3 linked regions of the Notamacropus eugenii genome follow. The protein of the gene in region 1 interacts with the protein of each later gene in a biochemical or structural test. Links are inferred from orthologs where the notes say so. Each region holds a gene or a part of one and is shown in the gene's direction. Other genes may lie near its edges. The genes, in order: KBTBD8, NOLC1 and TCOF1.

Region 1 (3,747 bases):
GTTGACTTTTACTGCTTGCCTTTACAGCTCATTGGCTGGAACTGCCTCAAACCAAAGCTGGCTGTCTAGTGCTATTTAGTGTCCACAATGGAACAGGACCTTCTTTGTATCCTTAAAGGTCACAGAGAACAGTTGTTTGTTGGTTAGATTTTATTATCCTCTTATCTATTTTTGATTTAAAAACTATATAATTCTAACAACGAGTAATATATGATCTTTGATCTCATCAGAATTTAGCCCTATTAAGAGTGTCATAGTCATTAGCAAAGCAGTAATATTATGTCCTGTTCTTTTTTATACTTACTTTAGGTTTGCTTTTACAAGCCCTAGTACCTCCCCACCCCCCAACCCGCATCACTAGGGGAACAGAGAACACAGAGTCTTTTCTGAAATTAATTGATGAATATCACCCAAGTCCTTTAGCTAATAAGTAGGAAGTGCAAGACTCACATTTAGTTTTAGACCTGACTCCAAAGAAGTTAAAAATAGAATGAATGAAATTAGACTTTTCCATTCATTTTCCTTAATATAATAATTTTGATTGGGAACCCATGGATACTTGGGAAATAGAGAATGACAGTGTTATGTTCTCTAGGGGAATGAGTACTGGGACCTGGAGGTTTTGGAGACCTGGATGAGTCTGAATTTGACCTCAGACCCTCAGCAGCTGTGTGACCCTGTTAGCCTGTGCTTCCTCATCTTTAAAATTGAGCTGGAGAAGAAAATGGTAAATCACTCCAGTATCTTTTGCCATGAAAACCCCAAATGGGGTCATGAAGAGTCAGATGTGACTTAAAACGACTGAACAACAAAAAAGGACATAATAATACTTGTTCAGAGAGACCTTGTGGCGCAGTGGATAGAGAGCCAGACTCAGAATCATGATGACCTTTGTTCAGATTCAGCTTCTATGGCTATATGACCCTGGGAAAGTCACTCTGCCTCTGGAGGAAGTTAACACCTTAAGCCTTTGAGTTGCATAAATAGGTGTTGCTCTGCATGGATTTTTCTTTGGCAATGAACTGAATGTTAGGTTAAAAAAAATCAACAAAAACTTGTTCCCTACCTCACAGAGCTGTCGGGAGGAGAGCACTATATAAATGTGACTTGTTAAGTTTATGAAAGTCTTAAAAATAGATTTGCTAGGAGCAATAGTTAGATAAATCAGGGCCATGGACCTAGAAAGAGCTAAGTAAATACTCAGTAATGATAAATTGTATTTTATAATGCTGAGTAACAAAGCAAAGAAACATAATACAGATTTAAAGTGTAACACTATCTACATAGAACACATTTTATATATTATGTATCTTTATTCCACTTGCCAAGCACAAAAAGTATCTTACTGCTCGGTACATGGGATAACTGTAACAAGAGTTGACATTTATATACATTTTTAAATGCGCAAAACTCTTGACATGTATCATCTCACTTGAATCTCACAAGCCAGCCTGCGAGGGAGGTACTGTCAGTACGAACTTCACTTTACGGACGAGGGAACTAAGGAACAGAGAGGCTGTGACTTTCCAGTGTTCACAGCGTATCAGAAGCAAAATCGGAATCCAAGTCAAATGTATCTTCTCCGATCGGAGAGCCAGGAGCCTGGGCTCCGCATAAAAGCCTGCCTCAAGCTCCCAACGATTTGTGAAGGAAGGTCAGCTACATGCACGACTGCAGCAGTATCCGTGAAATGCTAAAAGCGCCCTCCAGCACGTTGGGTGTCGTTCCTTGGGAGGCAGTAGGGGAGGGCAAAGGCAGAAGCCGAACAGGCTGGGCAGGGCTGGACCAGTCGCGACTGGCATTCCTCCATAAGAGGACAGATCTAGGGAAATATCGCAGCCATGAATCTAAGAGGAGGGGGCGGCTGGCCTCAGTCCAGGGTCCCTCTCGTTCACAAACTCTCCCCTAGCCCCGGACAGGCTGCCTGGGGAGCCAAGGCAAGCCTCAGGACGGCTAATGAAAGGATCGCAGGTAAACATCCAGGAAGGAAGGGGCTCCTCCCAAGTTCCCGTGGGACATATTTAATTCCTTCATGTTTATTTTTAGGGGCTCTAAACAGGAGGGGGAGGTTTGTCTCCATCTACGGGGCTCAGCTTTGATGGCTCGGAACTTAGGCCGGTGCCAGGCGGTTTCACTTGGTGGCACAGATGGCACGTCGGATCACTCTCTCTGGGGCGGGCGGGGGGAGGGGCAGGTGACCCCGGGCTCCAGTTGGAGGTGTCTCGGGGAGGCTGGGCCCCCTCGCATCGGCGGCCGCGGGTAGGAGGGGCGGTGACTCAGGGAAGGAAGTCCCGTCCGGCTGCCAGGCAGGCCTGGGGCCAGTCCTGCGTCGGACGCCCCCGGGGGAAGTCGCGAGGCCCGACTTCAGCTCGGCCTCGGTTTCCTCTTGGGGAAGGCGGGGTAACCGTGAGCCGACAAGGGGGAAGTCCCCCGAAGCCTCCCCCGCCTTGGGGGCCCCTCCGCGGAAGGGCCGGCCGGAGCGCGGCGCCTTGCCCACGGCGGCTGCGCCCACGTCCTCCCGCGCCGCGGCCCTCAGGGCGCTCCCACTTTGGCCCCACCCCATCCCCAACGCAGACCGCGAGGTCCCGGCCTAGGCCTCAGTTTCCTCGCCCGTCCAGCGGGTGACACCTGCGGTGCCCAGCCCCTGGGAAGCGGGGGGGATCCGAGGGGACCGCGCGGATCCCAATGCGTGGAGCTCTGGTGTGAGCCAGGAGTATGGAGTGCGTCCTAACCCGAGGACGACTCGGCCCACCCCCTGACAGGCCCCATGCCCACGCCGCAGTCCGGCCTCCGCCGGTACTGCCTCCGCCTCCCAGCGACCACGCGGGGTTGAGCTGAACCGGACTACATTTCCCGACACGCACCTCGGCGGCCTGCGACCAATCGGTACCCGAGGCGCTGGGCTCGGGGGCGGGGCCTGGGCTCCGAGGCCTCCCATTGGCTTCGAAGCTCGCTGACGAGCCGGAACCGGGGGGAGCAGGGGAAACGAAATGACATTTTCTCTCTTCTCCTCACTCCGCTCGAGCCGGGGCCCCTCCGAGACATGGCCGCGACGGGAGGTAGGTGCTGCCTCGGGGTGGGGGGAGCGGCCGGGGCGGCGGTTGGGCGGTCCGGGGCGGGCTTGGCGGAGGGCACGGGCCTCCCCTTTTCCCTCCCTCCCTCCCCCGCGACTCCCGTGGGCCCCGACGGCCGCCGAAGCCCGTCCGGTCGCCCGCGGGGGCCCCGCGCGTCCGCGTCGCGTCCTCCCCCCGCCCCGCCCCCCGCCCCCCGCCGCGCGCGTCCGTGGCCCGTCGGGGCCGCGCCCCGGGGCGCGCGTGGGCCCGGCCCAGCCTCGGGCGCGCGCGGAACCCGGGGCTTGTGGCGCTCTCTCTCCCGCAGATGCCAGTAAGTGTCCGCCGCCGAACGGCGCCCCGCCCGCGCCCCCCGTGGCCGGCCCGGGGCCCGTGGACGCCGCCCACGCGTGCAGCATCCTGCAGCAGCTCAAGACCATGTACGACGAGGGCCAGCTGACCGACATCGTCGTGGAGGTGGACCACGGCAAGACCTTCTCGTGCCACCGCAACGTGCTGGCGGCCATCAGCCCCTACTTCAGGTAGCCGCGCCCGCTGCCTCAGTTTACCCCCGGGAGCGCCTGTACGAAGCGCCTGCTGCGTGGCGCGCCGGGTTCTGGGGCGCGGGGGAGAGTGGAGGCCGGCGGGTGTGTGGGGGGAGACGAGGGGACGTGTGTGGGAGCGGGCCGTGGCTGAG
Region 2 (3,747 bases), on another chromosome or scaffold:
TCTGACCTTTCTGGAAGGCAGGTCAGAACTATGTTCCAAAACTATTAACCTATTTATACTCTTTGACTCAAAGTTACTGATACTAGGTCCAAGGAGGTCAAAAAGAAAGAGGAAACGGACCCATACGTACAAAACTACTTGTAGTAGCTCTTTTTGTAGTGACCAGTAACTGGAAACTGAGCTGACGCCTCTCCACTGGGGAACGGCCAACAAGTTATGGGGTGTGAGCGTGATGGAATATAACCTTGGGCAGCAAGAAACGATGAAGGGGAAGGTTTCAGAGGAACCAGCAGAGGCTCGCGTGAACGGAAGGGAAGTAAAGTGAGCAGAACGAGGAGAAAAAGGAAGGCGATAATAGCAGGATTATAAAAATCAGCTTTGAAAGACGTAGGAATTCTGACGAACACAACGAGCAGCCAAAATTGCGAAGGCCTGGGGATGAAAAAGCCATGTACCCCCCGAACCTGGAGACTGGGCGGTGTAGAGTGCTGGGAATAAAGCCGACAACCCCCTCGTGTGTGCCCCAGGCCAGACACTTCACCTGGCTGCCTCAGTCTCATCTTTAAAACGGAGATGATAATGGTGCCTGTCTGGTAGGCTTGGGAGGGACGGGTGGAACATCAAGTGCTACATGGTAGCTATTATTTCTGTCCCCTCTCTCTCCAGAGTAACAGGAGAATTTGTTTTGCATGACCATATATTTTCAATTTAATTTGTCATTTGCAACTGAAAAACAGGCTTTTTTTTTAAAGGCCCGTGAACCGCCGGATCTCCCAAGAGCAGCCAGCCAAGTCAGCTGGGACTCGGGATGCGCGGGGCCCAGTGCGGGAAGCATTGGGGGGGGGGCGGCTCTTCTCACGGACCCCAGGGGGCCTTGCTCGTACACACCTCGCCCCTCAGTTTGGGGGTGCAGGGAGGACGGCTGCCCCCAAAGGAGCCCCCGGCCCCTGAAGCCCCACCCCCTCATTTTGCAATGGAGGAAAAGGAGGCCTGGGGAGCTTAAGCAGCTGTGGCTCGAAAGGACCCAAATCGTTGTTGGCTAAACCAGCAGTAAGACAGGCCCGCTCCGCCCCGCCCCAGCCCCGGCAAACCGGAGGCGGGGGCCGGAGTGGAGCTTTCCCGCCAAAGCGGCAGGAATGGGCGGAGCCACGACGCCCCTGCCCCGCCTTCACCCACCAGACGAGACCCGCGGAGTGGTTCGACCGGACTTTTTCTTTCCCGAGATATCCGGGGTGGGACCCGGGGTGGGAGGGAAGGGAAAGGGAAAGGGAAAGGAAGGTTTCTAGGAGTGGGCGGGCGGGCCCGAGTCCCCGCCTTTTCCGGCGCTTGGCCGTGACGCCACATCCGGTTCCCTTCACCCTCACCATGCCGGAGTGATGTCATCATGCGCGACGTGCAGCCCTGAGTCGCGCCGGTGACGCATTCGGACCTGGAGGATGGCGGAGCAAGAGGTGTTACGCGTGGTGCCCAGCGACTTGTTCCCTCTCGTGCTCGGTTTCCTGCGCGACAACCAGTTTCCGGAGGCGGCAAGCAAATTCGCTAAGGCCACGGGCACCGTGAGTCCCCCCGCGCTCGGGGAGGAGGGCGATCTGAGCACCGGGCGAGGGGAGAGGAAAGCACGTGGTCCCCCGGGCCTAGGGGGGAGGGGGCCCTCGTGGGCCCCGGGAAAGGGGGGCCCGGGTAGGGCGATCCCTGGCACCTGGCGTTGGGGTCATGGGCTTAATGCCCGCTCTGGTGGTCACAGAAGCCTCTCCTGGTAAATCGAGGCAAGGCTGCAGGACCGGTCAGTATGGGTCTTAGTTTGTGGAGGCGGTGGGGGAGGGGAGCCCTTAAGAAGAGTCAGATCCATATGATGCTCCAGGGGCAGCTAAGGGGGACGACCCCGGCTCGGTTCTGGTTCGTGTGTTTTTTTATCAGTTACAGCTTTTACACGCCGACCTTTCCACTTCCACTGCAGCCAGTCACTTAGCACGTGCGCTCCTTGAAGTGAGGGGCTGCTCCATTTTTGTGCCTGTGTCCCCAGCCTTCTGTCTGGCACATAGTTAGTACATAATAAATACTTCAGGTTGATGTTTCACCCTGATCAGTGATACACCATTCTAAGTCGTGTTTCCACCTGGAATCTTCCACTTTCTCCTTGAATAATCTTTTCAGTGCATTTGAATTATCTGACTCTACCAAGGACCCACCACTGTATTTTCTCTCTTTCCCACTGTATTCACCCTCCACCCCCCAGCAAGAAGAAATCATGCATATTTTTCTGGTGGACCAGGCTTAAAGTTTATAAGATTTGTAGAAATTTGTGCTTCATAATAATTGCTCTTGATTTGCAATCCCAGAATGTGCAACAGAAGAAAAGATGCTGAGTTTTGAGTTACAAGTTTATGTCTTGCCTCTGACTTGTGGCTATGGACAAGTTACTCAACTTTTCTGAGCTTGTTTTTTCTATTGTAAAAGGCAATACTTGAGCTTACTACCTCATAGGGTGTAGGGAAGGTGCTTTGTTAACTTTAAGCACAATATAAATGTGACTTGTTATTCTACGTCCCAGCCAGCTTGGATTGTTCTCCATCCCCCATTTTCTTGCTGTTTCCTGTTTCAGTGGCTTTGTTCACATTCTCCCTTCAAGGCCTAGCTTAGATGCCATGCTGCAGTGGAGCTTTCCTTGGGTCTGCCCCTTTGTAACTGTCAATTAATTGAAGCTTTTAATATAGTTATAATTTTGCCTGGACCCTTCTTTTGTTCCTATTATACAATTCCTTGTATCAAAATGTATTGTGAGTTCCTTACAAAGCAGAGTCTGTATCTTCTTTGTTGTTATATCCTTAGCAGCTTGAACATGGTAGGTACTTAGTAAGTGTTCAGTAATTTTAATTTATATGTATGAAAACATTGTAGCATGCTTCGGGTTTGCAGATGATATGAGGCTGGGAAGACTAGCTAAAAACATGTTGGGATCAAAAAAAGCCCAGGTTGTAAGAGTAGACTAACTTAATAGAACTTTGTGGATGTGACTGCAAAAATTCCAGCATTTTAGGGATATCAGCTCTACCTCTTTCCGTCCTTGCAGGCCCAACAGGACCCCAATGCCACTTCCCTTTTGGACATCTATAGTTTCTGGCTCAAGTAAGTCCCTTCTGCACCCTTCGGCTCTCTCTTCCTTGGTGTCTCATAGGCCAGCCCCTTCTCAAAGTTCATTTTGCCTTTTCTTCACCCAGTAGGTCTTCCAAAGCTCAGAAGCGCAAGTTGCAGGCTAACGGACCAGTAGCAAAGAAAGCTAAGAAATCCACTGCTTCTGGCGACAGCAGTCATAAAGGAGAGGCCAAACAGCCTCCAACCAAAAAATTAGGTGAGGGATGAATTTTTGGGAGTGGAGGGGGTGTTCTTTCCATGTGTTTGATTTCTAGCTAAAGCACATGAAGGTTCTTCTTGCTCGCTTGGGAATACTCCCCTTGTCCAGAGGCCTAATTCTCACCAATTCCATATTCTTCCCCAGCCACCAAGCCACCTGGTACATCCACTCAGCCTTTGAAGTCAACCATTCCTGCCAAAGCAGCAGAGAGTAGTAGTAGTAGCAGTGAGGACTCCAGTGAGGAAGAAGACACTGGAAGCCAGAAGAAGTCTGCCCAGGTTGAAATATATGGGTTTCAGGAGAGGAACTAGGGGCAGAAATCTGTGTCTGCTTGATTCAGAGATGCCATTAGAAAGGAAATCTTTCCAAACTGAACTTGTTCTGGGTGGGGTCAG
Region 3 (3,747 bases), on another chromosome or scaffold:
TGGATCAAATGTAACAAAATTATAAAAAGATCCAGCAGGATTCAGAATGAAGACAGAAGAGAGGACACTCCCCAACCTACCCCTTCATGAAGGTGAGAGGTCTGCAGGTTTTAAAATGTTACACTTATTTTCAGACTTTACAATGTATCGATAAGTTGGAGGTTATAGACTGTACAAGTCCCCACCCACCTAGCACAAAGCCAACATAATTACCATATAGTAACTGTTTCTCTTTTACGCAGGAACCCTGAGGGTCTTCCCTCCCAGTCTGATTTTTTTTTTTTTTATTAAAGCCTCCATCCTTTGAGTAACTACTTAAAGAAGCCTATTGATTGAATGGGTGCATCTCACTCAAAGTGAGAATGTGATAAGACCTTAGCCTGAAAGGGCCAGGTTCTCACACTGCATCCTAGGCCATCTCCAGCTGTCCTGAAGAATATCAGCTCACTGGACCCAGATAGCTCCAGAGGAGAAAGTGAGGCTGGTGACTGCACAGCCCTCCCTCACTCAAATGAAAGTCAACTGCAAGTCATGTCATCATCTTGATGTCATGGTCCTCTTGGAGAACGAAGGAGAAACACAACAACCTGTACAGGTTTTTTCTCAAAAAAAAAAATTCCATTTGTTGTTATAGGAGGATAGCTCTCTGGGAGGGAGGATACTTGGGACAATTATGATCATGCAAAAAAAAAAAGATAGCAATAAAAGCTTATTTTCAATTAATCAATACACTTTACTAAGCACCTAGTATAAGTGCCAATCAATCAATAATCAATAATCACTAAGCGACTTCTAAGTGCCTGTCACTATGCTATAAAGGTGGGGATAGACAAAGAGGCAAAAGGCAGTGCGTGCCCTCAAGGAGCTTGTAGTCTGTTTATCAGGAAAAGTCTGACGTTCTGTCCCGAGCGCCATGGCCAACAGTCCCCGGAGAACCGCCCCCATTTCTCCCCAGCCGGGTGGAGCGCTCTGAGCCTCAACCCAGGGCCCCAGAGAAACTACATTTCCCAGCACAACCCAAGGCCAGGATAAGACTCTCGGGAAGTCGGAAGTAGTAGAGTGAGGTCTAAGGGCGGAGGGGCGGAGACGAGGGGGAAAAGTTGTGCGCGCGAGCCTGCCGGAGCCGATTTGCAGCAAACCTTCGGTCCTCGTGCGTCCGGGCCCGACAGCACCCGCCGCTGTCCAGCCTCGCAGACATGGCCGAAGCCCGAAAGCGGAGGGAGCTGCTGCCGCTCATCCACCACCACCTGGTGCAGGCTGGCTACGTGAGGGCGGCGCGGGAGGTGAAGCTGCAGAGCGGCCAGGTGAGGAGGAGGCAGGGAGGGAGGAGGGAGGGAAGGGACCCTCGTGGCCACCTGTCTAGTCCCCGATCGGATCGCTGCCGAGCCCGGCAGAGCTTCCAGGACAGGCTTGGGAGAAGGGGGCAGCTTGGCAGCATCCCCGGGGTTCGCCTGTCACACCAGACAGCCCAGAATCGTGATGCCCTCATGTCTTGAAGTCCCCCTTACTGGGTTCATCCTGCACGGCTTGTGGCCTCAGCCCTTGGAGAAATACTTGATAGCATGTTTTCAGTTACTGTGGAATGACTTGCTAAGCAGAAGATGGCAGAGGGATAACCGGAAAGGAGGGACAGTGTGGATGGCCAGGGTGAAGAGGAACAGGAAAAGCCTATTGAAGAACTGGCTGGTAATTGCCCTGTAACTCTGCTCGGCATGTATGGGATAAGCCCCAATCTGAACCCTGTCATTACAGCAGCTGATAGCGGTGTCCGAGCCCTGCGTGTGCACGAGGGGAAGACAGGAAGCGTGTATCCACTAGAGATGTCAGGAAAGGTTGGCCATGTTTCCTGGAACTGACACGTGCTGCTAGATCACTAGCAGATCTTGGGAGGGAGACGCTGAGAAGGTTCTGTTCCTACATGGCTGTCTGGCTCTCTTTGCTAGGAAGGCAGATCTCTGGGTAGTTCTTGTTCTTCCTTTGGGCCTCCTCCTAACTTTACCTACTGAGTTGCAGCGTGGCAAAGTGAAAAATGCCCTGGATTGAGGGCTAGACACACCCGGCACTGCTCCATACTTAGTGTATGACTGGATCAGTTACTTAACTTGTTTGAAACTCTGTTTTCTCACTTGTAAAATAGAAAGGATTAGATTAGATTAATTACCTCCCAGGGCCCTTCTCTGAATGCGGAAGAGTGTGGCAAGGGAAGGATGTTCTCTGGTGACATTCTTTCCAAAATACGCATTGCAATGGTCTTGGGTTTTACCCAGTGGAGTCCTGGGGTTTAATTATGGTCTAGGGTAAATTGCTTACAAGTGATAAGACTTCCTCTGCCTTGGGCTGTCTTCTCATATGTAAAAGGAAGGTTTACATTGAAAAGACCCCGTAGTTAACTAAGGGCTCTGGTTCCTTTGTACTTCCTTATTCCCGCTCAGTTTTCCAAAACTGTTTCTTTCTGATTGTTTTAGCCAGAAAGGACCTTGGTAGAGACTTCCTAGTCTCATCCTAGAGAATAAAAATCTGAGCTCCAGACAAAGAGAGCAGATGGGGAACTAGAAGCCAGGTCTCTTCACAAGACACTTTACAGGCTAACTGTCTTATTTAATCTTTGAAACAACCCTGTAAGGTAGGTATTACAGATTTTAGTCCCATTTCACAGATGCGGAAATCAAGGTTCATAGAAGTTGTGACTTGCCCATGATCCCCCAACTGTCAGACATGGAACTGAACCCAATTCTTCCTTACTCTTAGGTCCATCATGCTACCTACCACTCCATGCTGTCAGGATCCCTTATTAGCATTGGACTTCATCCTGAATTTCATTCCTTGGAGAGAACTTTCCAGTTAGCCCATACCCCTTACCTTCTCTGCCCATCTCCTTAGGATCTTTCCTTCCCTGCCCCAGTTATTTTGTATCAAAAAAAAAAAAAAGTGAAACTGGGAAGGGAAGACCCTCAGGGTTCCTGGGTAAAAGAGAAACAGTTACTATTTAATATTTGTATCTCTCTCCCTCTCCCTCCCCCTCAAAATCCCCTGAACCTAGGGAAATACATGCTGCATAATAGTTGCTTAATCCTTACTGAAGAAGTATGCCCATGTACCTTCTGTTCCTTCAGGGTACTTACTTGAACTACTGCTCTGTTTGAATGGGATGCTTGTTCTGGAGGTCTGACATACCCTTAGCCTTCTTCTTTTTATCCTCTTTTATCTGTTAATTTTTTATTCTGCTATCAAAGTGACCTCTTGAACTCATCCTCCATCCCATTCAATAAACTCCAGGGGCTCCCTATGGCATCCAGGATTAAATATAAAATAGGCTGATTGCTACCTGAAGCCCTTCACGACCTGGCCCTGTCTGACCTTTACAGTCTTCTTACGCCTTACACTACATCCCATATCCTGTATCCCAGGGACACAGGCCTCCTCCCTGTTCTTCTCACCAGACATTCCATCTCCCAGTCATCTGCATTTTCTTTACCTGTCTCCTGTGCCTGGAATACCCCAGCCTCTTTATCCCAACTTGTTGACTTTTCTGGGTTACTTCATGCCTCAGCTAAAACCCTTACCTCCAGTGCACAGTAATGTTAGTGCTTTCGCCCAGTGGATTGTCTCCGGTGTGCGCCGCATATAACTCGTTTGTACATAGTTGTTTGCCTGTCGCACTCCCCCCACCATTACTTGCTTTTTTCCTGTCTTTATCACTTAGCATATAGTAGGCACTTAATAAATTACGCTTGCTATTGTTACCCA

Evidence for each region.
Region 2: the proteins of KBTBD8 (region 1) and NOLC1 form a complex in vitro, tested with the Homo sapiens proteins (2 studies listed by BioGRID). The link is inferred for Notamacropus eugenii from reciprocal best matches to the Homo sapiens genes KBTBD8 and NOLC1.
Region 3: the proteins of KBTBD8 (region 1) and TCOF1 form a complex in vitro, tested with the Homo sapiens proteins (2 studies listed by BioGRID, with this or other methods). The link is inferred for Notamacropus eugenii from reciprocal best matches to the Homo sapiens genes KBTBD8 and TCOF1.

The regions. Positions count from the first base shown.
Region 1 is NC_092874.1:456,875,720-456,879,466, reverse strand, and holds the start of KBTBD8 (kelch repeat and BTB domain-containing protein 8), read left to right. Parts: upstream 1-1,212; 5' UTR 1,213-1,956; coding exon 1,957-1,971; intron 1,972-3,025; coding exon 3,026-3,059; intron 3,060-3,378; coding exon 3,379-3,592; intron 3,593-3,747. UniProt on the Homo sapiens protein: Substrate-specific adapter of a BCR (BTB-CUL3-RBX1) E3 ubiquitin ligase complex that acts as a regulator of neural crest specification.
Region 2 is NC_092872.1:180,294,629-180,298,375, forward strand, and holds the start of NOLC1 (nucleolar and coiled-body phosphoprotein 1), read left to right. Parts: upstream 1-1,255; 5' UTR 1,256-1,436; coding exon 1,437-1,556; intron 1,557-3,070; coding exon 3,071-3,126; intron 3,127-3,218; coding exon 3,219-3,349; intron 3,350-3,496; coding exon 3,497-3,630; intron 3,631-3,747. UniProt on the Homo sapiens protein: Nucleolar protein that acts as a regulator of RNA polymerase I by connecting RNA polymerase I with enzymes responsible for ribosomal processing and modification.
Region 3 is NC_092872.1:378,243,869-378,247,615, forward strand, and holds the start of TCOF1 (treacle protein), read left to right. Parts: upstream 1-1,064; 5' UTR 1,065-1,196; coding exon 1,197-1,304; intron 1,305-3,747.